Oryzias latipes: one gene and its partners. The protein of the gene in region 2 interacts with the protein of the main gene of each other region in a pairwise test. Links are inferred from orthologs where the notes say so. Each region holds a gene or a part of one and is shown on either strand. Other genes may lie near its edges.

Region 1 (5,751 bases), on a different chromosome or scaffold from region 2:
TTAGGATGGTGGTCGACAATTGGTCCAGTAAAGTCTCTCAGCTGGTGGGCCGGCAGGAGTTTGTTGTTTCTTCCAATGTTCTGGGGCTGGTCTACAGCCAAACGGTGGTCTGGACTGGAGCCTTGTTTTGCCCTTTGCTGCCCCTCATCAACACTGTAAAGTTTGTGATCCTCTTTTACTGCAAAAAGGTGAAATTCAGCTTCAATAGACAGAATGTTTCATCATACTCATTCCTTTTTGATAATCTACTTGTTTCTATTGCCACTTTCCTAAACAGATAACACTGTTCTCCAACTGTCGGCCACCCCAAAAAACGTTTCGCTCCACCACCTCAGCCTTCTTTTTCCTGGTGGTACTGCTCTTAGGCTGGATGCTGGCCTCAGTTGTCATGATTTACAGCATTGCTGTGTGAGTGTGGATGTTTCTTGGTAACATAAATAATACAATTATTTTTCCTACTGGTCAGAAAGTCAAAATTTGGCCAATTTGTCGCAATACAAAAAAGGCGATGGCTTTGTAGAGATTTATGAAATTATGTCTGAGTGACGTTCCGTGTCTGTCCATACAGGATCCATCCTTCTCGGGGATGTGGGCCTTTCCGGTTCTCTGACAACATGTGGTTGATTATACCGACATCTTTCTACAACCTCTCTGCAGCCACACAAGAGTTTCTTTTCTTCATTGGCTCACAGGCGTTTACAATCCCCCTGTTTTCATTATCGGGGTAAATCCATTTTCATTTTACATGAAAATCATTGAACTGTCTTGCACTGTGCAGATATAGATGATATTTTTCTTTGAATGCCAGTTGATTCTTTACCAGCTGACTTGTTTCTCCGTCATAGTTTGGTGATGTGCTACGTCATAGCTTTGTTCTCCATCTATGGGAAAAGTGTTGGACTGCTAAGACTGCAGCTCAAACGGGTAAGTTGATGGTATCTAAAGCAGTATACTAAGAATTGGCCATGAGTTAACAAAGATTTTTTTCAATATTTCCTTTTTTACTTTAACTAATACAGGGTCTGGTCTTTTTTGTTTTTACAGGAGAGCCGGGATAAGCAGTTCTTAGTCAAGCAGATTGAGGAACTAAGTCGGTAGATGACCAAGATACCATTTGATAGATACATATATATACTGTATCTACCACTACAAGACTAAACAGCCTCTGGACAATGTTTAGTCTCTGCAGTACAGTAACATGAGACGATGTCATAAAGAAAGGATGTTTATTAAAAAGAAAAAAAAAGCTTCATATTATATATACATAGTGAAATTACACCAGATTCTTTCAAAATAAAATGTTAAAAATGTTGCACATTAAACATCACTGTTCTTTAAGCACTTTAAAAGTGATCATTTAAACAGGTGTTTTGATCATTTTTGGATATAGACTTTGCAAAGAAATGCATGTAAAAAAATTGAACCTCTAATACTGTTTTAAAAAAACAAGACAGTTGGACAGTGTTTTTGTTAAGACGAGAGCAACCAAAAATAATTGTTTATTTTTGACCCTTTTGAGACTACGGTATGTATTCAAACTTTTTATATTCTTTTCTTTAAATGTTGTGATTTATTTGTATTTTTTTAATGAGAAGTCCTTCGTTTGCTGTTGTTTTTTTTTTTTTTTATTGCTTTTTAAAGTTTAGTCTTGCTCGCTTATGACCATTACATTTATTTCTTTTGAATAAACCAGTTGGCGCTCGCTCCAGCTCCATCTAACGATTCTTCTTTGTAATTGCTTCAAGAGTTGTAACTTTTTTTGTTTACTTCCTGTTTGGGTCTACTACTTCCGGTGGACCACAGCAAACCTGGAATAGATGAACTCTCCAAAAAGTCGGACAGATTTGTTTGTTGTTAGACCTTAGGATATTAAAAAAAATAATACTGTGCTTTTAACGAGCCAGGTTTGCCGTCATGAATGCTAACTTAATGTAGAAAAAATGTAAGCTAATGTTTTAAAATCTAGACAATTGCGCAGATTTTTTGCTAATTTCTGCTTTACTAATCATATCAGACTCAGTCACCTGGCTGATTCGCGTTCCATATTGTTGTAGATCAAAGGCTCGGGTCTGTTCTTCCTCTAAATTTTGAGTTAGCTAACTGCTAACAGTAACACCATCATGAATATCCTTCCGAAGAAAAGCTGGCATGTCCGCAATAAAGACAATGTAGCGCGCGTGCGAAGGGACGAAGCCCAGGCTGCAGAAGAGGAGCGCGAGGCTAAACGCCGCGTGGAGCGCGCGGAGCAAGAAGTATGTTCAGTTTTACCGTTCGTTTTTTGTGTTTACATCTGTCTGTGTTTCGTGCTGGCAGAGTATACGTTAACAGATCACGTGACAGTTTAGCTGGTTCTGAGCTGAAAATGAGTTGGAAACCTCTGCAACTGAGTAGATTATATGTATTTTTTTCCTTTCCTTTTGGGGGGTTGTTATTCACAAATCATATACAAAATTGAGGTTTGAACACTATCATTAAGAAAGTGTGTTGTTCCATCGCTAATATGGAGCTGATGTTTATTTTTTATTGTGTTGATAATCTGAAATAGATTCAAACTTCATAACATGCAAAAATTGTCATGGTTTGTTTCCACAGGCGCGAACAGAATATCTGAGAAGAAAGGCCCGAGCTGGTCTCCAATCAGTGGAAAGCACAGGAGATGATGGGAGTCAAAGCGGAGGACATGTGGAGCATCTCAATCTTTTTCCTTTGGAGGAGTCTTCAGATAAGAAGGGGAATGAAGAGTATCTCAAAGAGAAGAAGGAGGAAACGGTGATTGTGCTGCTACTTCTGTTTATATTCTGAAAATTACAGGTTTATCTGAGTAAACACTCACTAAAAATAATTTAGGAAGTCCATTTTATGGATTTTTTCTTTTCATTTGTTGTAGGAGAGGAATGGTGTACAAATCCCAGGAAATTGATTGTCTGATCCAGCACAGATTAACATCTATTTTTGTTTGTGTGCATAAAATACTATAACTATTGTGTTTTTCATGTTTGAAACTCTCATTCTAATTCTGCATTCAAAGAATGAACACTTTTAACAACCAGACTGCATTTGCTTGACAGTTAGTTTTCCCTTGTTTATCACGGGAGTTATCTTCTAAAAATAACCCACATCAGGTGAAATCCACAAAGTAGAATTCGAGATGTTTTAAGGCTGTAAAACGGAACTTTGTTTCATGTTTAAACTCTTAAAGTTCAAACATTTGTAGTAAAATAAGTCATGTATTATAGAATAAAACAAAAAAATCTGTTTGTGGTTGAAGATTTAGATATTTGGCAAGCTAAACGCATTCTGTACAGGAGACACCGCTTGGAGGAAAGTACTTGACAAAGTCTACTACCAATCAGGATGCAGAACAAATTGAGCTGTTAAAAGAAATCAATGAAAAGAAATATGAAAAAAATCAGCGAGAGCGTGAAAGATATAGCGAGGGACCACTGTACTCAAAAGAAAAAAAACAGGTTGCTCATCTACAAGTTGCAAATGAGTAGCACTCTGCAGCTTTTTGTTGATTTTTAAATCAGTAATGCTAATTTAAAAAGGTAAACATCCACTTTTCCCCACCTAATACACTTGGTTTGCTGTGGTTTCTTATTCTACAGTGGCAAAAACGTGCAGCTGGATCTCATCAGACTCTGTCAGGATTTTTATTTTACCAGGAAGTTCTGATTCTACTTTTATGCAACAATGTTCAGTCATCTATTAGAGAAGGAAAAATGACACAAAGAACAATTTGCATGAAAAGGCAATGGAGTTTATTACAGTTTTTTTTATTCTCCAATACAATTATTTGAAATGGAATATTTTAAATATTGATCATAGCTACTCTGGTTTGTCCAGGAGAAGCAAGAGCGAGCCATCGGCCTGCTTGTTTCTTTAGGCCCCCAACCAGGCACTGAGGTGACTCCATGGTACATGCAAAGCAGCGCAGAAAAAGAAGAAGAAGAATCGGAAAAGAGGAAGGGCATAATTGAAGAGGAAAAGGCGAAGAAAGACCGCAGGCTGAAGGAAAGTTTGGATCCTTTGAAAGATATGAAGAAAGCATTGGGGGAAAGTGAAAGGAGGCACCACAAGAGCAAGAAAAAGGAAAGAGGAGACAAGGGAGAAAAGAGGAGCAGTGGGGAAAGGTAAGAAAGACTTTGGTTGCTTGAATGTCCTTCTAATGATGTTGATTACATAATAACACTGTTTTTTTATGGTGTTTTCTGTTTTTTTTTTGCCTTTTCAGCTCCATGGAAAGATTGCGTGCTGAACGCTTACAAAGGGAAGCTGAAGAAAGGAGAAGAGCCCAGGCTTTGCTTGAGCAGAGGAGTGGGAAAAGGAAGGATGCAACGCGAGAAATGGACGACAGGGACCGGCCTTACAACAACGCTTACTTCCCAGAAATTGCCCGAAAACGACAGAGGCGAGACAGAGAGAGCTGGAGAGATGAGATTCTCAAATCTTGAGTTTCATTATTCTGAACATTTTACAATCAGATGGTTAGGATTCCCTATGACTTTTTTTTTTTCATTTGTCCTGTTCTGTCCATAAAAGGAAAGTCTTGCAGGAACTAGAGGTCATGTCCAACAGCAGTTCTCTCCACCCCCGCCGCCTTTTCACTCATGAGCACATCAGCAGGGCAGATGGCTGCCATCACAGGGGGCCTGAAGCACAGGCTGTCGAGAAGAAAAACCCTAAACCACTGCTCGGCTGGCTTACATCATTGTAAAAATGGACAAGTTTGTGCTGAAATCATTCATTCCAACATGACAAATCAATAAAAAAAGCCTCTTTTACATTTTAATAACTGTTTAGATGCTTCCTTTAGTCAATATTGAGGTTGTATTTGAGCCACAACACAGTTTTGTCCTAAAATGTGATTTAAAATCTTTGTAGGCTAGTTTTTTTTTTTTTTTTTTTTAGTTGTGAGGTATAAAAGGAAAATGCAGTTCTTTGTGAACATGTTTCTGTATGTTTTAGAAAAAAGATTTACAGACTTTCCAAATAAATGGATGACATGGATCTGGAAAATGTCACCTTCTCTGTTCAGGATCCAGGTACGGCATTTCTCTCCGAGTCACACTGGTTGAATTTTAAGATAAAGATGTCCTGGATTGATTTTAGGCTGGTGAATCGGATCAGTCAAAATGAACCAATATGGACCATGAATCACATCGTCTGCCACAAAATACATTAAAGAATTGTTAAAAGGAATCATTACACTTGTAGTTTTAGTGCTTTTCCATAAGGTTTTCTGAATGAAGATTTTATTCTATTGCAGCCCATTGTGACTGTTGTATGAATAAATGAATGTGATATATTGTCTATATAGTTCTTTATTTTCTAATCAAGTTATTACTTTATATGCCAAATGGGTTTGATAGATCTATTCCATAATTTAAAATAAATCCAATCAGATTGTTCCAGACATGGCAAAAGCATTTTACATTTGGCTTTAGCTGTAAAATATCTAGATTTATATTGATCATATCAGGTTGGTGGCACAATAAATGGTCTTCATTGTCCCTAAAACGTTTTTATTTACAAATGTGACAACAGGCAGAAGTCCTGGCATGATAACTTAATTCACGGATCGATCGTTTTGATTTAATAATCCGGTGTGAAATCATTCTAAAGCGACCGCTGAGCCTTATTTGACACACTATTAGCTCCCAGTGGGAATATGATGGGCTCTGTGTGTTTTCCAGCTTCAGGATGACCAAGCAGGAGCATGACAATGCGCGCGGTGTCTGTCTGACGTAG
Region 2 (5,723 bases):
AACCAGAACCAGAACCACAGAGGGATCACAAACACACGGCCTTAAACCAGAACCAGAACCACAGAGGGATCACAAACACACGGCCTTAAACCAGAACCAGAACCACAGAGGGATCACAAACACACGGCCTTAAACCAGAACCAGAACCACAGAGGGATCACAAACACACGGCCTTAAACCAGAACCAGAACCACAGAGGGTCCAAAAACACACGGCCTCAACCCAGAACCAGAACCAGAACCACAGAGGGATCACAAACACACGGCCTTAAACCAGAACCAGAACCACAGAGGGATCACAAACACACGGCCTTAAACCAGAACCAGAACCACAGAGGGATCACAAACACACGGCCTTAACCCAGAACCAGAACCACAGAGGAAGGACCGCAGGTCCAGAGCTGAAGACGGCAGTCTGTTGACCAAAGCTCTGCGCACTTTGACCCCAACCACTTTCCAGAACTCCTTTACCATATAAGGGATTTCTGGATGCTAGGCTCGCATCGCAATATCAGCATTTACGTTATTCATATGCTAGGTTAGCATCAAAGTTACGTAATTTATTTGAAAAAAAAAAAAAGAAAATTCACGACATTCATTTGGGACGATTGCATTCAAATAACAGAATTTACGTAATTTTCTTTGCGAGGTTCGCAACCAAAGAAGATCAAGTTTACGTCGTTTCTATTCGATATTTGCAAACAGACAACATTAAAATTGATGTATTTCTATCCTATGTTTATTTCCAAATATCTGCGTATTATTTGATTTATTGTATGCAATGTTTACAAACAAATAACATAAATTTCACTGAAATACCATCAAATTTACGTTATTCGTAAGCAAATTTCCCAAACAAATAAATACTTAAAATCGACGTTATGAAGTATATTTAACGTTAAAAATTTTCTTCCAAAGTTAATTTTTGTATATGATCATTGCTACAAAAAATGACAAATGTTTATGCAATATTTGGGTATAATTATTAACGTAAAATGTACGTCATTTGTAAACAAATCCCATCCAAACAACGTAGATTTGGGGTATTGGATGTTACCATAGCAGCGTACATTTGTGTCAGGAATGGGAGGTCCAAGCAAAAAGTGTCGAGTCACCGATTCTACTGCTGGATATTCACAGTCGTCATGTCAGTGACAAAAATATTTTACAAAAGAACACAGTAGAGTTCGCTTACTCCCTATACGACTACAACTGAAGGTTTGTTGACCTTTGACCCGAGGAAGAGACCACCATCTTGAATGTTTCGTAAAAATCATCTTTAGGAGCAGCTACACATTTAAACTCCTAGAAAAGAAAAAAACCTTTAAACTAGAAGTTTTTGATTTAAGCATGGATCAGCTATATGAATATATTAAGAATGTGGGCGTGGTTTAAAAAACAAAATCGATCGAAATACTAAATGGTTGCTATGGAGATAAAACAAACCAAAAAGCACCATTGTGAAAAATGTTTTTTTAAGGAAAGTGTCACATCTCATGACGTCGCAGCTCTGATCAGGGTATCAGGGGCAGAGGGGCATGTAGAAGTTGATTTGTCTCTTATTTTGAAATCTGTTTGAGGGACAGCAGTACTGGGAGAGTAGCTGCATTTCAAAATAAAAGGTTTCATTGAATTTTGTTTTTTTTATGCTGAATTTCTACGGTTTTTGATGAAAACTGGGAAGTCAGATGAATGAAGGCAAAGATCAGGGACTGACTATGGCCTCTGCGCTGTGGCGCTGCAGCTGCAGCGTGCGGCTGTGCGTCTGCGCAGCCCTGCAGATGCAGCGGTCCTCCAGGTCCTGGACCTTCACCTTCACCTGGTCCAGCAGCGCCTGCAGCTCCGAGGCCCTCTGGGAGTGCTGGGCGGCGCGACTCATCTGCTCCTGGACCTCCTCCCTGGAGAAAAAAAATAAAGAAATAAAAATAAAAAAAGACCAACAGGAGAAAAGCCTCTGTTTTCCTGACTCCGCCCCCTTTTTTAAGGCTTCATTCCTGCTGGACAGAACTAAAACTGACATTCAAAATACTAAAATGATTATTTACAGATTGATTGATGATTCTGATCATTTTAGTGTCAAACTATGAATAAAAGGTAAATAAAAGTAGTAAAAAATATATTTTAATATCAATTTTAAACTACAAGTTAAAACTGGTGGTAAATAAATGTATATATATATATATATATATAATTTAAGAAATCCATTGAAATTTATAAATACATAAATACAATAAAATATTTCAAAATAAGAGCATGGATTTATCAAACAAGAAATTACCAATAAAATACTAAATGACAAAAAAAAAAAAAGTATTAACATGCCGAGTATTTTTTCATTTTAGTTACATTTGACAAGCAAACAAAAAACAAGTAAAACCTAAAAGTAAGGATGCCTGATTTCATTTTTTTAAAACCATTTGTTATTTCAATTTGAACTTTATTCAGTTTGAAATCCTTCTATAATAGTTTTTCATTTCCCATCATTAAAACTGTATTTGTTTTTTTTTAACCTTTTTAGACTTTTGTAGAATAAATAAAGTTTTTCGGTATTTCATGCAAAAATACATCATTTTTAAAGAAATGTAAATATTCTTTAAACCAATTTAAATGTTTTTGAGTTTATATGAAAGTTGATGGGTTTAGTTTTATAAGGAACTTTTACATAAAACCAGGATAAACAAAAGTCTAACAGGAAGTGCGGATGTTTGATCAGAAGTTGACAAAAGTTGGTTCTGCCGTCTGTCAGTCAGAGCTCACGGTTCCTGACAGGAGATCCTGATCCTGGATCTCACAGAGACATTGTCCCTGAGGGAGCCGTCCTCCCCTCAGCTGATGTTCGCCAGTCGTTTACCAAAATAAAAGCCTCTGTGTGATCGGATGGGATCAGAGATGCGGTTGCCACGGTTACGCTTGGACAGCAGACGGGGGATTGGATAACAGGACAGGTGGTCTGCAGACGACCAGACCTCACTGATGACCACAGAGAAACCTGAACCCCCACAATGCTGCAAAGGGGGGGGGGGGGGTCATCAGTCAGAGCTGGGGGCGCCACTCACCGGAGCCGGTTGTTGGACCCGACCAGCTCCTGCAGGAGAGCCTGCCTCCTGTCCGAGTCCGCCAGCAGCGTCTCCAGAGTCCGCCTGAGCGCCGCTGCGGACTTCCTGTCCAGCAGGCCCAGTTCTGGAAGCACAGAGGAGCAGGCAGGAACCAGATCATCAATTTAGAACCAAAAATGGATTCTAGTTTCTGTTTAGTCCCAATAATGCCGCATTTGCTGGGTTTTTAACCAAATAAAGGCAGCTTTGGACCATTTGGGTTGAATTTCCTGCTGGGCGGTGACGTCATCACCTGAGCTCTCACCTGCAGGGTTCTTGTTCTCCACGGGGTCCGCAAAGAGCACCGGCCGGAAGCCCCGCTGCTGCAGCAGCCGGTTCAGCGGCTCCCACTCCGCCTGCTGCTCCTGCGACACACACACAAACACACAACCCGGGTCAGACCGCCCGGGTCAAAGCGGGACCCACCTGGTTCCCACCGCGGCGCTACCTGGAACTGCCTGCAGGTCCACAGGTAGACAAACGTCCCATTTCCCCCCGGGGGCCGCATGTCCGCTCTGAACCCCAACAACCTCCACTCAACTGAAAACGCTCGTGCTCTGGCGCGCGCGCGCGTCTGAAAACTGAGCCCCCCTCCCTCCTCAGTTTTCAGTTACCAAGCGGAGTGTCACGTGACTCACCTGCAACATCCCGTCAGTCCCCTGGAACAGAACCGCTTTCCTGAATGAGAACCGTGGAAATGCCGGTGGAAAAGGTTCGGTTGGACTCTCGGCACCGTTTCGAACTCTCCGAATAAAGGAACCGAACCAGTCCGGACTCCGTAGAAACCTCTGAAAAGCACTTCAACAGGATAAAAACAACAAAAATCCTCTTTAAAACCCGCCACGAACACAACTGACTGTTTGGGGCTCAGATTCAAACCGTACGTGATGACGTCACTAAAATAAGCCAATGACAGACAAGATTTTTTTTAATGCAACTTTATTGAACAATTTGTTTCGCTCACTCACGTTTTTTTCCTCTTCATTTATTTATAACATTTCAACATCTGAGCGTCAAAGCTTAACAGAACATAAAAAAGATCAAACATTTAATTCTTTTTTCCTCCTAATAAACAAATGGTCTGAATGATTTCCATGTACGAGGGCTCCCCTCCTGCAGGTGGCGCTGTTGCGTCAGCCAGAAGACTTTGCACATGTCAGTCAGAAACAAGGTAAAACTGAGGATATCCATTTTTGGACTGCTGGGTCTGCTGCCAGTCCCGTCTCCATGGCAACCAGGAAGCTCATCTGAAAGGAGTCAGGAGCTGCTCAGGGAGAACCGGTCCTGCTCTGCGGGCTTCTTGACCCAGATGCCCAGTCCAGCGTCAGCCAAAGCTCTGTAGAGCGTGTGCTTGGCGGAGCAGTACTCCTCGGCCGCCCGCTTAGCCTGGTGGTAGCTGCTGGGCGGCGGGGCTGAGACCCGCAGGAAGGAGGACAGCTACACGGACAAGAAGACGGAGAAAAACTCTCACTTCTGCTGTCAGACCAAAGAGGATCCTCCTCATATTTAAGGCTTCACACATCTATAGCTTAAAAAAGGAGTTTGAGGCCTCAAACAAAGATTTAGAAAGTAAAGTGTGTATTTCTGTCTGGGATGAGGTTGTGGAAAAGCATCAAAATCATTAAAAATGCTTTTTTTTTCTCTCAAACTGAAATGTTCATGACATCACCAACATCTAGTTCATTTGAGCGTTTTATACGACTTTATATAACCACTGAAAACGTTAATGGTTTATTAAAAAAATACATTTATTTCCCCCTCAACAAAAATTGTTAAGAAGAAATTGCATTGTGGACTATATTATACTTATACTGGTGAGCATCAATGGACAGTGGTTGTTTGCAGTGACTTCTGGGAAATTTTCAGGACTCTCGATTTTGAAATTGTAGATTCGGACAGCTGTACAGAATGCTGCTTGAGCTACATAGTGCATCATTTAGATGTAGCCTAGTATTTGTTTTTTTTAGCTACTTAGTTTGATAGCAAATACAATTATTAACTACTAAGCTAATAAGGAAATATTTATTTGGGTTATTAGCAAATTAGCAAATACTATTTTTTGTTTTTTTAGCTGATTATCTTTTCAGCAAATCCAATTTCTTATTTAGCTAAATAAAAGCTAACATAATGCCAGCATCTGCTCACCCTGCTGTGCAGCTGCATCCAGCGGCAGTAAAAGGCGCGTTTGCAGAGTCTTGACGGTCCACCCATTTCTTCTTTCCCCGTGGTGGAGTCAATCACCTCCACATCGTCGTCACCTGCAGTCCAGTTCTCGCTGAAGGGTGGAGCTCTTGCGGGCTGCCGGGCCTCTGGGTTACTTATTCCTGCAGAACCAAAGTCAGGGAACTTTGATGGAGGCCGTGACCCAAGAACCGGGCGTTTCCTGCATCTGTCTCACCGCTGAGCAGCGGCCGGTTGAGGCAGAAACCTGGCGGCAGGCCCTCCAACGGACCGATCCTGCCGTACATGGCCCTGGACATGTGCGCAGCATGGTACAGGCTGCCCACGATGATGCTGGAGAAGTACAGCGGCTCGGTGAAGTAGCTCATCAGGGAGCCCTGGAACCCCAACACGTTCCACCTGTACCTCACCAGAGACGCAAGAATACGATTTAACGCAATCGGAGACA
Region 3 (5,886 bases), on a different chromosome or scaffold from region 2:
ACATGTAACTAAATGTAATGACAAATGAATGCAACTACTCCTTAATGTTAAATAACTCATTTATTTATTATAACATTTTAAAGTGACAATTACAGTTGCAAAGAAAACATATGTTTGTTTGTTACTCTAGCATAAATCTGTTAAAATATTGTCTGCTTGTTAAAACCCACATAACTCCATTAATGAAGGATCAAACTGTCCAAGTGAGTAAAAATACAATAACATAAAACTGAGCTAGAAATAACTTTTTTGACACAAGCAACATTTTACAAAAACAAAGGCTGCACACAGCCTTGCATCCAACTGATTGTTTGATGACAACAATTTGTCTGCATACAGACCTGCAAACATTAAACTGCGCGGGGGATAGTGGGTATTCCAGCAGACCCAACGTATTGCACGGGGGATTGTGGGATGCGGTCCACTGGTCAGAATAGGGTTGAGAATGGGTGTTTCTTGTTGCCTACGTTTCTTTCCATCCATCAGTTTTGTTGTTCCACCCTTAGTTAATTCTTCCTGTTATGTTTGCTTCTTTTGTTGCACCGTGATTGTGGGGAGAGGAAAGGGGGATGACTCGTGTGCGATGTTCAACGTTCTGCGCGTTCAAATTAATTGGGCTCAATGCTGGAAAGCGGATTGCGCAATCAGCTTCTCGTTGGGAGTCATGCGGCATGCAGGGCAGACAAGTGTCCAGCGCAGTCAGTCAGTCAGTCAGTTGATGGACTGCTCCGCTCTCACTTTCCCGCTCCGAATGACGACCCAGCTGAATCGTTTCATTATTATAAAGGGGCTAATAGCTCAATAGAGATGGGTTTGTCTTTGAGATCCGATAGTGTAGATTGGAGCTCAACACTTATTTCCAAAAAATAAATAATTATACGCCTTTTTTTATTTTAAGAAATGAAAAAGTGGTATGCTCTCGCGGGCCACATAAAATGACACGGCGGGCCACATTTTGCCCGCGGGCCTTGAGTTTGACACATGTGCTCTACTATCACTTCATTCCTGATGCAATCCATCCTCCTCCCTCCAAAGAGAACCTCAACATCTTCATCTTTGCTCTTCTTGTCAGAGTCTCTCAACCAGGGGTGTCAGAATCCACACCTTTCTTTTGACCAAATGTGTTTTGTTGTTTTACTGTGTTATTTTATCCTGTTATGTTTAATTCTTTCTGCACCATGAGTGAGAGGGAGGGAGAGGAGGATGAGGTTATTTAGCAGCACTAGTACAAGAGTGCAGTCTAAGAACTGAAGTTACAGTCAGACTCATGATAATTAAAGGCATGGTATATATTGTAAATTCACACCATGTCATTCATTTTAATGTTATAGAAATGAGAAAATCTGCAGCCTCTAACTTAGACATATGAGAGTTCAAGAAGTACCATAAATTGAGATGGAAAAACATTTAATTGATTTGGAGTAATATGACATTTAGTTAGATAACTATGTAAATTTGAGTTCTAAAAACAATTAGAGTTTTATAGACGTAAGAAATTAGGTTGAATAAATTTAATTCCATCACTTGTTACCATTTGAATCAATTTTTTTAAGTTCGATAAGTTTTATTTATATACGTCACAATGTCATTTTAAATAAGATCAGAAACTTGTGCGTTTATTTCTCCGTTCTTTTTCTCCAAGCAGAAACTCTCTTTTGCTGATGCAGCCGTGTTACTTTTTGATGGGCGTATAATCTTCATACGCCGTCATTAAAATCTCAGACTCCGTCTCACTGAAGTATAGCGCTCTCTTTTGTTCTCCACGCGTTTCCATGGTGACTTGGGATATCGGCGATCCATTGAGAATGTCTTTATGTACCTGCTGTGCACGTGCGGTAACCCAGGGTTACCCAGTCGAGCGTAATTACGCCAACTCATATCCGGTCTTTTGGAACCGCCATACCCAGAGTAAGCAAGTTCAGGCGGATTTCAGCCAGAGTTCAGGCTTAAAGTCAGGGTAGTTTAAACATGCTTCCTGGAATACCCCCCTGGACTCTGACAACCATGCTCTAGTCCAGAGGTGGGCACTGAGGGCCGCAGTCCTGCATGTTTTCCAGCATACCCTGCTCTGGCATGTTCTGATTGGCTGGACACACCTGAACCAGGTAATCAGCCATGAGTAGGGCAAGAGTATCTGGAAATCATGCAGACACACCGGCCCTCGTGGCCTGGAATTGCCCACCCCTGCTCTAGTCTAAACCAACACTAAGGCTGTTCTTTCCATTGTCTTCTGCACCTTTCCTTTCATTCTTGCTGAAACTTTTTTGTCACACATCACATCTGAATCCTTCCTCAATCTGTTGCTTTGGACTGCTGACCTCTAAATACTTCAAGTCGTCCATCTTCTTCACCCCGGCTCCCTGTAATCTCACCAGAATCCTCCTCATTGTCCTTCTGAGATTGACCTTCACTCCTCTTCTTTCCAGAACAAGCCTACACCTCTCTAGATGTTCCTTCACTACAGAACACAGTGTCATCTGAAAACATCACAGTCCACAGAGATTCTTGTCTAAACCTCGTCTGTCAGTCTGTCCATCATCACATCAAACAATGAAGAGTTCAAGCTGATCCATTGTCCAGTCCCACCTCCACCTTGAAGTCTTCGGTCACACCTACAGCACACCTCACCAACCGCTCTACAGCCAATCTGGTAGAACAGTTCTGTCTGTGGTTCCGTTTTTGGATTTGGTTATGTTTTTCATATTGTATACAGTCACAACCTCCAGCATTTACAGACTTGGGATTCGCCACATGAAAGCATTGAATTGTGCCCCCTTGTGGTTAAATTCAAATTTAAGAAAGAATACAATTAGGATATTTAAGAAAAGAATAAGTGACCTTACCCAGTAATGCTTAGTGGTTTATTTTCGACTTCTTTCAATTTCTTTTTCATCTCAACTGTTCTTGATGGTCTGTGGACGTATTTTCTTTTGCCCGTACATTCATAGGTCCAGTGTCCCAACTCCAAACACTTTTGACATCGTACATGCTGTTTGTTTGCCTCCCTGTAGAAAAAAAAAAAAAGAGGTTTCAGATTCAACACTACAAAAGGAGTACGTTAAATGGGCCAAATCCATAAATACCTGGAAATACTTGATAGTTTTTCACAAGAAAATGTTTGTAATTGATCTTAGTGACGGAGGTTGAACCTCTGAATTTTTCTTTTTAAATATGAAGATGATATATATTGAGGCAGAGTAGCTTCCAAGTTCACAATTAGATTTAATTTGATTTTTTCCACTTTAAAAAAGGCCACTACAAATCCATTTGGTTCATAAAACAATTTTGGCATAAGTAAACCAAACCAAACTAAAAGAAAAATTCAATATTTTATATTACAGTGGATACTGATAAAATCTCATATTTTGAAAAGGATTTATAAAAGTCCTGAAAATTTTGTTTTTTCCTGCGTCAGATTCTTACTAAACCCAATTTTATTGAATTAATTGATTACTACCCAAGTAAGTGAACATAACACGGTCGGTGAGGCCATCAACGATTCACGAACTACTGAATTCTATCCCAACTTTTATGCAGTAAGCTCGTTCTTTATTAGATTGTACACAAACAAAATGTAGTTTTTCCGCCCCTTAATGTCTACTAAAATCCTCAGGAACGTGTGCGGTTGTATCGATAATTAGTTTGGGGCGTTAATGGCGGAAAACAAGTGTGAACAGCGAAAGAAGAAGCGCAGCATCTTAACTGTTTTTAAACAGTGAAATAATCGTTATTTACCGCTTCTATAGGATATTGCACCCAACAAAAAAGTGTAATTTATGTTTATCGATATGTTGTCTTCACATAAATTTGGTATGGAATCAGTAACGTTGTGATAACGAAAACATACTCACGCTTGTCTCCTGGCAATTATTCTGTGCATAGGAGTAGCCATGTTAAAATCTGATGCAACTTCTTCTGTGGTGTTTCTTCACAACGAGCTTCCGGAAAAGTTAATGTATTCAGCGCCCCCAGTGGTAAAAACGGATAAAGCTTTTTAAGGTCATGTTCATTTTTTCCCACTATTTTTGAAATTTTCATAACAAAAATTCTTTATAGTTTCCTTATTAATAAATGCGTTAAATTAATTTAATGCATTTATTAAGTAGAAATAATATTCAGTGGTTCTAATAATTCAACACAGTTACAACATCAATAGTACAAATAAGGAAATAAGCAAACATACAAACTACCTAGATGATGAGTTAAAGTTTGTACTTTTTCAGATTTAGTGTTAAAAATAGTAGATAAACTGAAAAATCATGTAAAAATGTATTTTCTTTTTTAGCAGCAGCAAGATTGTACATTCAACATTTTGATATGGATTTTAACTAGGCCTGCACAATATACCGCAAATTTATCGTTATCGCGACATCAAACTGTGCAATATGCATACCGCAAAAGACGGCAAAATCGCAATAAATGGTTACCTTGACCCTTGTGCTATCCTAAGCACTTTAACATTGGGAGTGGGGTCATCTAGACCCACTAAACAGTGCTCTGAACCTTTTTTCTTCTAGGATTTGTGATCTTCACTGGTGTCCATGGATTACATGAAATCTTTCCACCTTTATCCACCTTTGTCATGGTAGGAAGAACACGTCACTGTAAGGGGGGGTCATCTAAGATAGCACAAGGGTTAAATGTGCTAAAACAAACTCATGGCAGCTTGAAATATTGAATAAATGAAATAAATCCCTTTATGCATTTAACCAATCGGAAGGACTCGTTTACGTTGTTGATCAATCAAATGAGCCCTTTTATGTTTGATGTTTGCCTCCTATGTCGACAAGGGTCATTTGGAGTATAATTTTTATGCTGTTGCATTGAAATGGAAATGATGTTTTTGGTTGGTTTGATATTTGTTTATATACTGCAAATTATATCGTTATCGCAATATTAATCACCAATATCGCATATCGCGAGTTTTCCTCATATCGTGCAGCCCTAATTTTAACAAATTAATATATTTGAATTAGATGAAACAGATACGTTAAAACCTAATTGTCTGCCAATTTCAATATGATGCCAGTATTACCAAGTTAATTAATTGATACACATTCTTTGTACTATTGTAGTTGGGTTGAAGTACTGCAGTTTTGCTTGCATGTTTTGTTATGTTTTTGTACTTGTTTATGTTATTATTACAGTTGTTTTAATCTCATACTCATTATCATCATCATTTAGCTAATTTCTGACAAAAATAAATACAATGCATATTCTTATTAAAGTTGCAATTCGTTTGTTTATTTTTTTTTTATTTCAAATGTTTTTACCATGTATGTTAACAAAGAAAAAAATAAAACAAAAAAGCTTTCTCATAGGACTGTCTTACGAAAAAATTATTATTTGCTCTGAATAAAAAATTTAAAAAGCAAAATCTATGCCTATTGTAGACAAGATCATTTTCATTATTTAGGCTAACTTTGAAAAGCTTAAATCACAAAAGTTTTAATAACAAAAAGTATTATTGAAGATTAGAGTACAGTAGAATTTTATTTATATAAGAAGGGGCAGTGAATATACAGCAATAAAATAACAAGTTGGTCTAGACATGTGTTAAGTCTGTTTTTTTAAGTATTGCACGGTATAAAAAATATGAAAAACCTTCTAATTCTTGACTAAAAACACAGGCTACTTTAGACATTGATTTTTGTTTTGTATAGTTAACAATAATTTTTGATTTTTTGATTTGAAATGGTTTATTTCAAGCAATCAAATAGGAATAATACACAAAAAAACAATCCAATCGTCAGTTATACATTTATAAAATAACTAATCAAACTTAGTATAATTAGACATAAAATTAAGTATTGCTTGAAAGGGAGTGGAAGGAAGCGAATTTATATAATTCCACCCCTGTTCTACTGTAACCATTTTATTACATGA
Region 4 (5,760 bases), on a different chromosome or scaffold from region 2:
TTTTTATTTCCTGTCATCTTTTCTGGCTTCTCCTCATCTCACATATTACATTTAGAGTATAATATTGTGTTTAATTAAGTGGCAATCACTGTTACTTTAGTGACCAAAACTTTACTTTCCCCACAATTTGGTTTAAACCTTAATTTTTATGTTCGGGTTTTCAGGTAAGTAGGTGATTTGTATATTAAACACCAACAAAAACTGAGAAAAAGGTCTTCTTTTAATTTGCTAATAAGCAAGTACCAGGTTCAGTTGGCTCATACTAAGACTGGTGTAATGAAATAAAACGTTATTAAATTGAATACATTTAGCATAACTCGCGTATTGGACACTTTTACTGTACACATATGCAGTAAAGATGCAACTATTTACTTTTTCACAATATGATAAAATGATGTGAGATACGGATCGATTTTAAACCAAAACTTGTGGTGTAACATTGTTTTAGATCAAAATGGGAAACTAATTATGAAATTTAATATCTTCACCTCATTAAAAAGTTATTTTTTAGGTACAATGTGTTTGCGCCATGTTGGTTTTATTTTATTTTGATGTAAACTTAAAGTTTTCTGTTATTTTCACTGCACTTCGAGCATGACATTATTCCAGTCTTTATCACTCTCCTAATGTTTTTTTTAGTATAATTACAATTTAGCACTTAAATTTAGATCTGTTACTGTTTCAGTTCTTAGGTGTTTTTAAACAGAACTGTTTCCTGTGGTAAGTTAAAACAAGTCACTGATGAAAATTGTGTTTTTGGTGTTTTAATGTGTTCTTGTAGCATTTTTCTGATGATGGAGGACATAAATTAGTATTTCTTTATTTCAAATCATTGTGAATCAGGAGCAGATGAAAAAAAGCCCACAACTCGGACAAATTTCTGATAAACTCCTGCCACTGTGCAGAAACTACGTCTTAGAAAATGACACAGGTTTCTTGATTTTGGCTAAAAACTGCCTAATCATAATGAAAAGACCACTGGGAATGCTTTGAAAGTACATCAAAAGATGATTGAAGTGATTTATCCTTCACAAACTAAGTTCATGATGGAACGCAGTTTTTCATCTTTAGCTAGCGCTTCCTTTTTCTTTTTTACATGTTGTGACTTTTTTGGTCCAACATTCTCACATTTATCTTCTGTCATTTAAATAAACAGCTCCTAATCACTTCCTGTGCTCCAGCAGGTTTTCCCATGGATGTCTTGTTAAGCATGAGATGTTTACTATGTTGAGTTGTATCCGCTCTGCCTCCTAAAACCTTAAGCGTCCGTGTGCGCGCATGTGAGACTCATAGATAGAGACCACCTAGAAAACGACTGTTGGGGAAAAATAATGACCCCAAACCTTAAACAAAAGCAACAATGTCAGAGTCAGAGTGCATTTTTCTAGGCTAACATGGAAAATGTCAATCAGGCTACCACTGCATCTAAAGACACCAAATCTATTAGCTTGTCCTGATATCTGCCTGTGGATTCCAGCACATTCTCCACAAAACTCCAATGACGTCCAGTAATTCTCCTTATGCAAAGCATGTCAACAGTTTGGTTCTGAACAACCTCTTTGAGATGAGCCTGGACCAGAGTCACTCAACTCATTTGAGTTTCTTATATCCATAAAAAAAACAAATCTTCCAGAGAATGGGTCTCCAATCCCCATTTGCTTTAGTGAACACTTTAAAGAAAGAAGAAGAAAAAGAGTTTAGAAATACCTGTAACTCCATTGTTGGTATAATCCACTCAGTAATCCAAAAGGTCATAATCCAGTCCCACCTGACGCCTGAAACCAAGTAAAAAGAACAGTTAATGAGAAAAGACGAGACATATTTTCCAATTCCACATTAAACTACTTTTTAATCACAAAGGGGAATTTAAAACAGTATTTTTTATTAGTGGAGGAAGGTTTTTAAAAAGCAGAGATGAGGTGCATCAGTTTATGAAGGTGTGTTAACTTTAATATTATTAACTTTATACCTCACTGCAAAAGTTAGATGCTAAATGTTTTCAAGTCCAAATCCTTTGGTAAGAGTCTGATCATGTGCCGATTCAAAGATGTACATTTCTTTGCTCTGCATACTGTAGCACTAGCATGACGTGGTAGGAAAATAATACTGGCTGCTTTACCTAAACTATCCTTCTAAACATTAAACTCTAAACATTTGTGGCACTGCGAAAAGTGCAAGGAGACAACTGTAACACTTTTTGAAATGAGCCTTTCTTCAGGATTTTTTATTTTAACCTTTGATTTAAAGATGTGAAAGCTTTCTGATTTCCATTAAAGCACATTAAGTTGTATAGCTACATCAAAAGAAATGAACCCTCTGGTTGCTGTTTATATAGTTACCGTCATAAATACCTTACATAAAAAACTGAGTTACTGAAATCACAGTGTTAATGTAATGCGTGAAGTGTAATGTGTCTTGTTGCTGCTTCATTCTCATACAATATGCTGTTAAAAAAAAAGAAGAGAGATTTACTGTTAAAGCGGATTCAGATGGACTTCATTTTGAATTTCTTTTGCATTCAAATGCATTCATTTCTTAGCTTCTTCAATATTTTAATTTCTTATGACTAAAGCTTTTGTTCAATACGCCTTTTTTAAATTTTGTAGTCACAAGACCCCAGTTAAGCAGAATTAACTACTGCCGTAAGAAAACCAGAAATGTGACGCCCACGCATGTGGACGCCAATTCCTAAAAGGTTCAATCTCAAATTAATTTGCTCAATTATTCTTTAGGGTTAAAAATAAAAGCAGCGGGTGATGCAGAAACAACAGCTTGATGTGATCATAGCAACTGTGATGTTTTACAGCAGGTTGCATTGCTTCAAACAGCAATAGATCTACCATGTTGGCATTTCAGCAGCCGGGGAGCTTCAGAGCATAGGTATTAAAATATATTTAATCTGTGTAAACATTCTTGTATGAAAAAATCTATTTACAAATAGTAGCTGTAGAAATTTTTATACAGTTTAAGGAGTTGATAGCTTTTTTTTTTTTTTGCTAACGTTTTGCTCTGTTGATTTTTGTTTTTTTGTTTTAATAATTATATTTCTTTTTACAACACATGGGGGGGGGGGGGGTACATGTTTACTGATGCATTTGATCTGTTTTATATAAAATCACACTTGCATATATGTTGTATACAAACTACTTAATCACTTTAGTTTGGTTTCCCAAAAGTTTGACTGTTTAAAGCTGCTGCGGCACTAACGAACCGGTTTTGTTTGTTTCCATGTTTCCCCTTCATTTTTTGTTATCTTTACAAGGTTTCGTACGGCATTCATTTTAATTCATTAGATCAAGTAAATAACATAAAAGAAAAAACACGAGACCATTTGAAAACAAGGGCAAGTTTTGACTAATAAAGTTATTTTCATCTTCAATCCGGAACTGGTTTGTAATGTATTCTCCTGATCAGAAACAAAGTCATAAAGTTTGTACCACTCATCAGTTCAGTATCGTAATCCAACAGAGTAAGCTAAGGCTAGCAGCCTGACGTTACCTACTACACCAAGACTGTTGCGGAAAATATAGGAGCAAAAGTTTTGCATGCTCAGAAATGAAAACACCGGGCTCGAAAGTTCAAGCGTAAGCAACTAGTGCAGCTCCATTAATGAGCACGGCCTCAGTGAAGGAGTTGTCATAGATTTTTCTTTTCCTAAAACACAATAAACGGCGGCTGCTGCTGCTAGCGCTGAGAGACTGGCCAATAGCGGCTAACCAGCTACAACAAGGCTAAGCTAATAAACGTTAGCTTGTTTGCTTCCCGATCCCTCACTGAGTTTTCAATGACTCTCGTTTTCGTGCACGTCTGTCGGAAAAGTGACCATAAAAAATGAACCTACTCTGATCAAACGTCCAAGGGTTAAACCACATGAGTGTTTTTTCCTGACAAGCACAGTGTTTGATAATTTTAAGAAAATAACAAGGCAAAATCTTACTTACCTGCTTGTCCTGTTACCAACGACCGATAACATCCGCCCCCTGCGCTCCTATTGGCCAAAACTTGAATTCGAGGATTGCTATTGGTTGGCACGGCTGTCAGTAACAGCAAATGCCCGTACAGCGGAAATGTGGATGAAAGTTCATAGCACGAAACTTCATTATCCAAAAATGATTGTTTTCAATAAAAATGTCCGTTTGAGTCACATAGTTTCGTCATTTTTTAATATATTCCTTATTTTTAATACCACAGCACAAGTGTTGCTTTCACTGCACGCTTGCTAGCAGCTCTCGCAGTAAACACACACACATATGTATTCATTGCGTTGTTTTCCAGACTTTACACTGAAATGTGCAAATGATTTTTCAAAAGCAGATGCAAATAAAAACAAGTCACGTCAAAAGGCAGATATCTATTTTCAAAAACGGATTAAATGTGATCAAATTCCTTGCACCCAAAGACGTGAGTGTGAGATTTGACTGTCCTGTGTTACCCAGTCAAAAGCAGGCCATAGAGGACAATAACGGATAAATACTGTTAAAAACTGCGTTTTAGGCTGAAGTTAGTGATGCATATGTGCAGCCAACAGGACCACAAGTTAATTCACATCAAAATAAGATGCCTTTTATGTAAATATTGGGGGATAAACAAAGAGTTACAGTGGGTAGTTGTTTTTAGTTCATCCAAAGTGGCTTTACATCAGTAGGAATATATAGATTTAGCTTAACAGTAATTAAATTAATGGATAAATGAACAAATAGAAAGATTTTGGTCATCTTTTATCCCAAACTGTTCTCATTTTATGTAGAGCCCCTGAAATGTCAACAGTTTTCATTATTATTTCTATTAGATTGGAACAGTAAAAGAAGAAGAAAACTAAATTGGGCAACAGAGAGAAGAGAAGTACCATGTAAAATCTTTAACCTTTAAGTCATTAATATAAATAATTATTTTAGAATGGTAGTCTAGATAAATTACCCAAAGTAAACTAAAAATGAATGAGGAAAGGTAATTTAAAAAGCTACAATTTATCCAAATAAAGAGTTTAATTATAGGGGAAAGAGGTTGGAACTTCTATTTATTGCTTTGTTAATCCACCATTCCAGTAATCCTGTAGTAATAAAAAAAAACATTACATGCTATTTATAGGAACACACATGTATTATTTTTTAACATTTTAGAAATTTAAATCTAAATAAATAAACATACACTCAGATTAAGAAGGTCACTCCAGGCCTTCTCTCAATCCTTCTGTGATTCTTGATTAGAGGTGTTCTTCAGGGTTCAGCGTTTGGGCCTCTTGTGTTGCTATGAGCTAAATTCTTTACTTACTTCTATAACATTATGTTTTCTTTTTCTTGTGCACCAAACTTGTTTTTCTTCCAATTCTTCTTATTTTGCTCCTACTGAAAAGTAAAATGTAAGATAAGATGACACAGGCACATTTTAAAGCTGGATGCTGAATTGTTAATGTCTGAGTCAGACTGTGGTTTAGGTTTATCTCAAGGACATCTCAATGATGCTAAGCCGATCTATGTTTTAGCTCTGTGGTGCAAAAGTGACATTTAATACTCCTTGAAACTTGGAAAAATATCTGCACATTCAGGAAAAAAAAGGAAAAATTTCCTCATTCATGTTTGACAAAGTGTTGTTGAACCTTACAGGCCCAGATCCCAGATTGTGACTGCACCTCAACAGGCTCCATAATATAAGCAATACATGAGATGAAATCATCCGGTCACCTCTTCCTAACCTGATGTTTCCATTATTCTGCTGAGGAAGTTGGACTCGGATTGTCCTTTTTCCCAGATAGGGTACGAT

What was found. The genes of interacting proteins can lie anywhere in the genome.
Region 1: the proteins of cep70 (region 2) and leng1 interact in binary tests that used the Homo sapiens proteins (3 or more experiments, as listed by UniProt). The two-hybrid records come from large-scale screens. The link is inferred for Oryzias latipes from reciprocal best matches to the Homo sapiens genes CEP70 and LENG1.
Region 3: the proteins of cep70 (region 2) and zcchc10 interact in binary tests that used the Homo sapiens proteins (3 or more experiments, as listed by UniProt). The two-hybrid records come from large-scale screens. The link is inferred for Oryzias latipes from reciprocal best matches to the Homo sapiens genes CEP70 and ZCCHC10.
Region 4: the proteins of cep70 (region 2) and KAT8 regulatory NSL complex subunit 1 interact in binary tests that used the Homo sapiens proteins (3 or more experiments, as listed by UniProt). The two-hybrid records come from large-scale screens. The link is inferred for Oryzias latipes from reciprocal best matches to the Homo sapiens genes CEP70 and KANSL1.

The regions. Positions count from the first base shown.
Region 1 is NC_019874.2:19,389,195-19,394,945, reverse strand, and holds leng1 (leukocyte receptor cluster member 1), read left to right. Parts: upstream 1-1,781; 5' UTR 1,782-2,120; coding exon 2,121-2,252; intron 2,253-2,592; coding exon 2,593-2,769; intron 2,770-3,846; coding exon 3,847-4,133; intron 4,134-4,234; coding exon 4,235-4,454; 3' UTR 4,455-5,019; downstream 5,020-5,751. Other genes in the region: tmc4 (transmembrane channel-like protein 4), read left to right, coding at 5-188, 278-408, 569-724, 846-924, 1,045-1,098.
Region 2 is NC_019860.2:1,159,528-1,165,250, forward strand, and holds the start of cep70 (centrosomal protein of 70 kDa), read right to left. Parts: upstream 3,994-5,723; 5' UTR 3,742-3,993; coding exon of another isoform or gene 3,733-3,741; 5' UTR 3,603-3,732; coding exon 3,543-3,602; intron 3,460-3,542; coding exon 3,360-3,459; intron 3,180-3,359; coding exon 3,056-3,179; intron 1,898-3,055; coding exon 1,717-1,897; intron 1-1,716. Other genes in the region: double-stranded RNA-specific editase 1, read right to left, coding at 4,352-4,531, 5,240-5,418, 5,493-5,674.
Region 3 is NC_019872.2:6,665,167-6,671,052, forward strand, and holds the start of zcchc10 (zinc finger CCHC domain-containing protein 10), read right to left. Parts: upstream 3,971-5,886; 5' UTR 3,893-3,970; coding exon 3,852-3,892; intron 3,006-3,851; coding exon 2,844-3,005; intron 1-2,843.
Region 4 is NC_019877.2:19,818,702-19,824,461, forward strand, and holds the start of KAT8 regulatory NSL complex subunit 1, read right to left. Parts: upstream 3,971-5,760; 5' UTR 3,942-3,970; intron 1,776-3,941; 5' UTR 1,708-1,775; intron 1-1,707. UniProt on the Homo sapiens protein: Non-catalytic component of the NSL histone acetyltransferase complex, a multiprotein complex that mediates histone H4 acetylation at 'Lys-5'- and 'Lys-8' (H4K5ac and H4K8ac) at transcription start sites and promotes transcription initiation.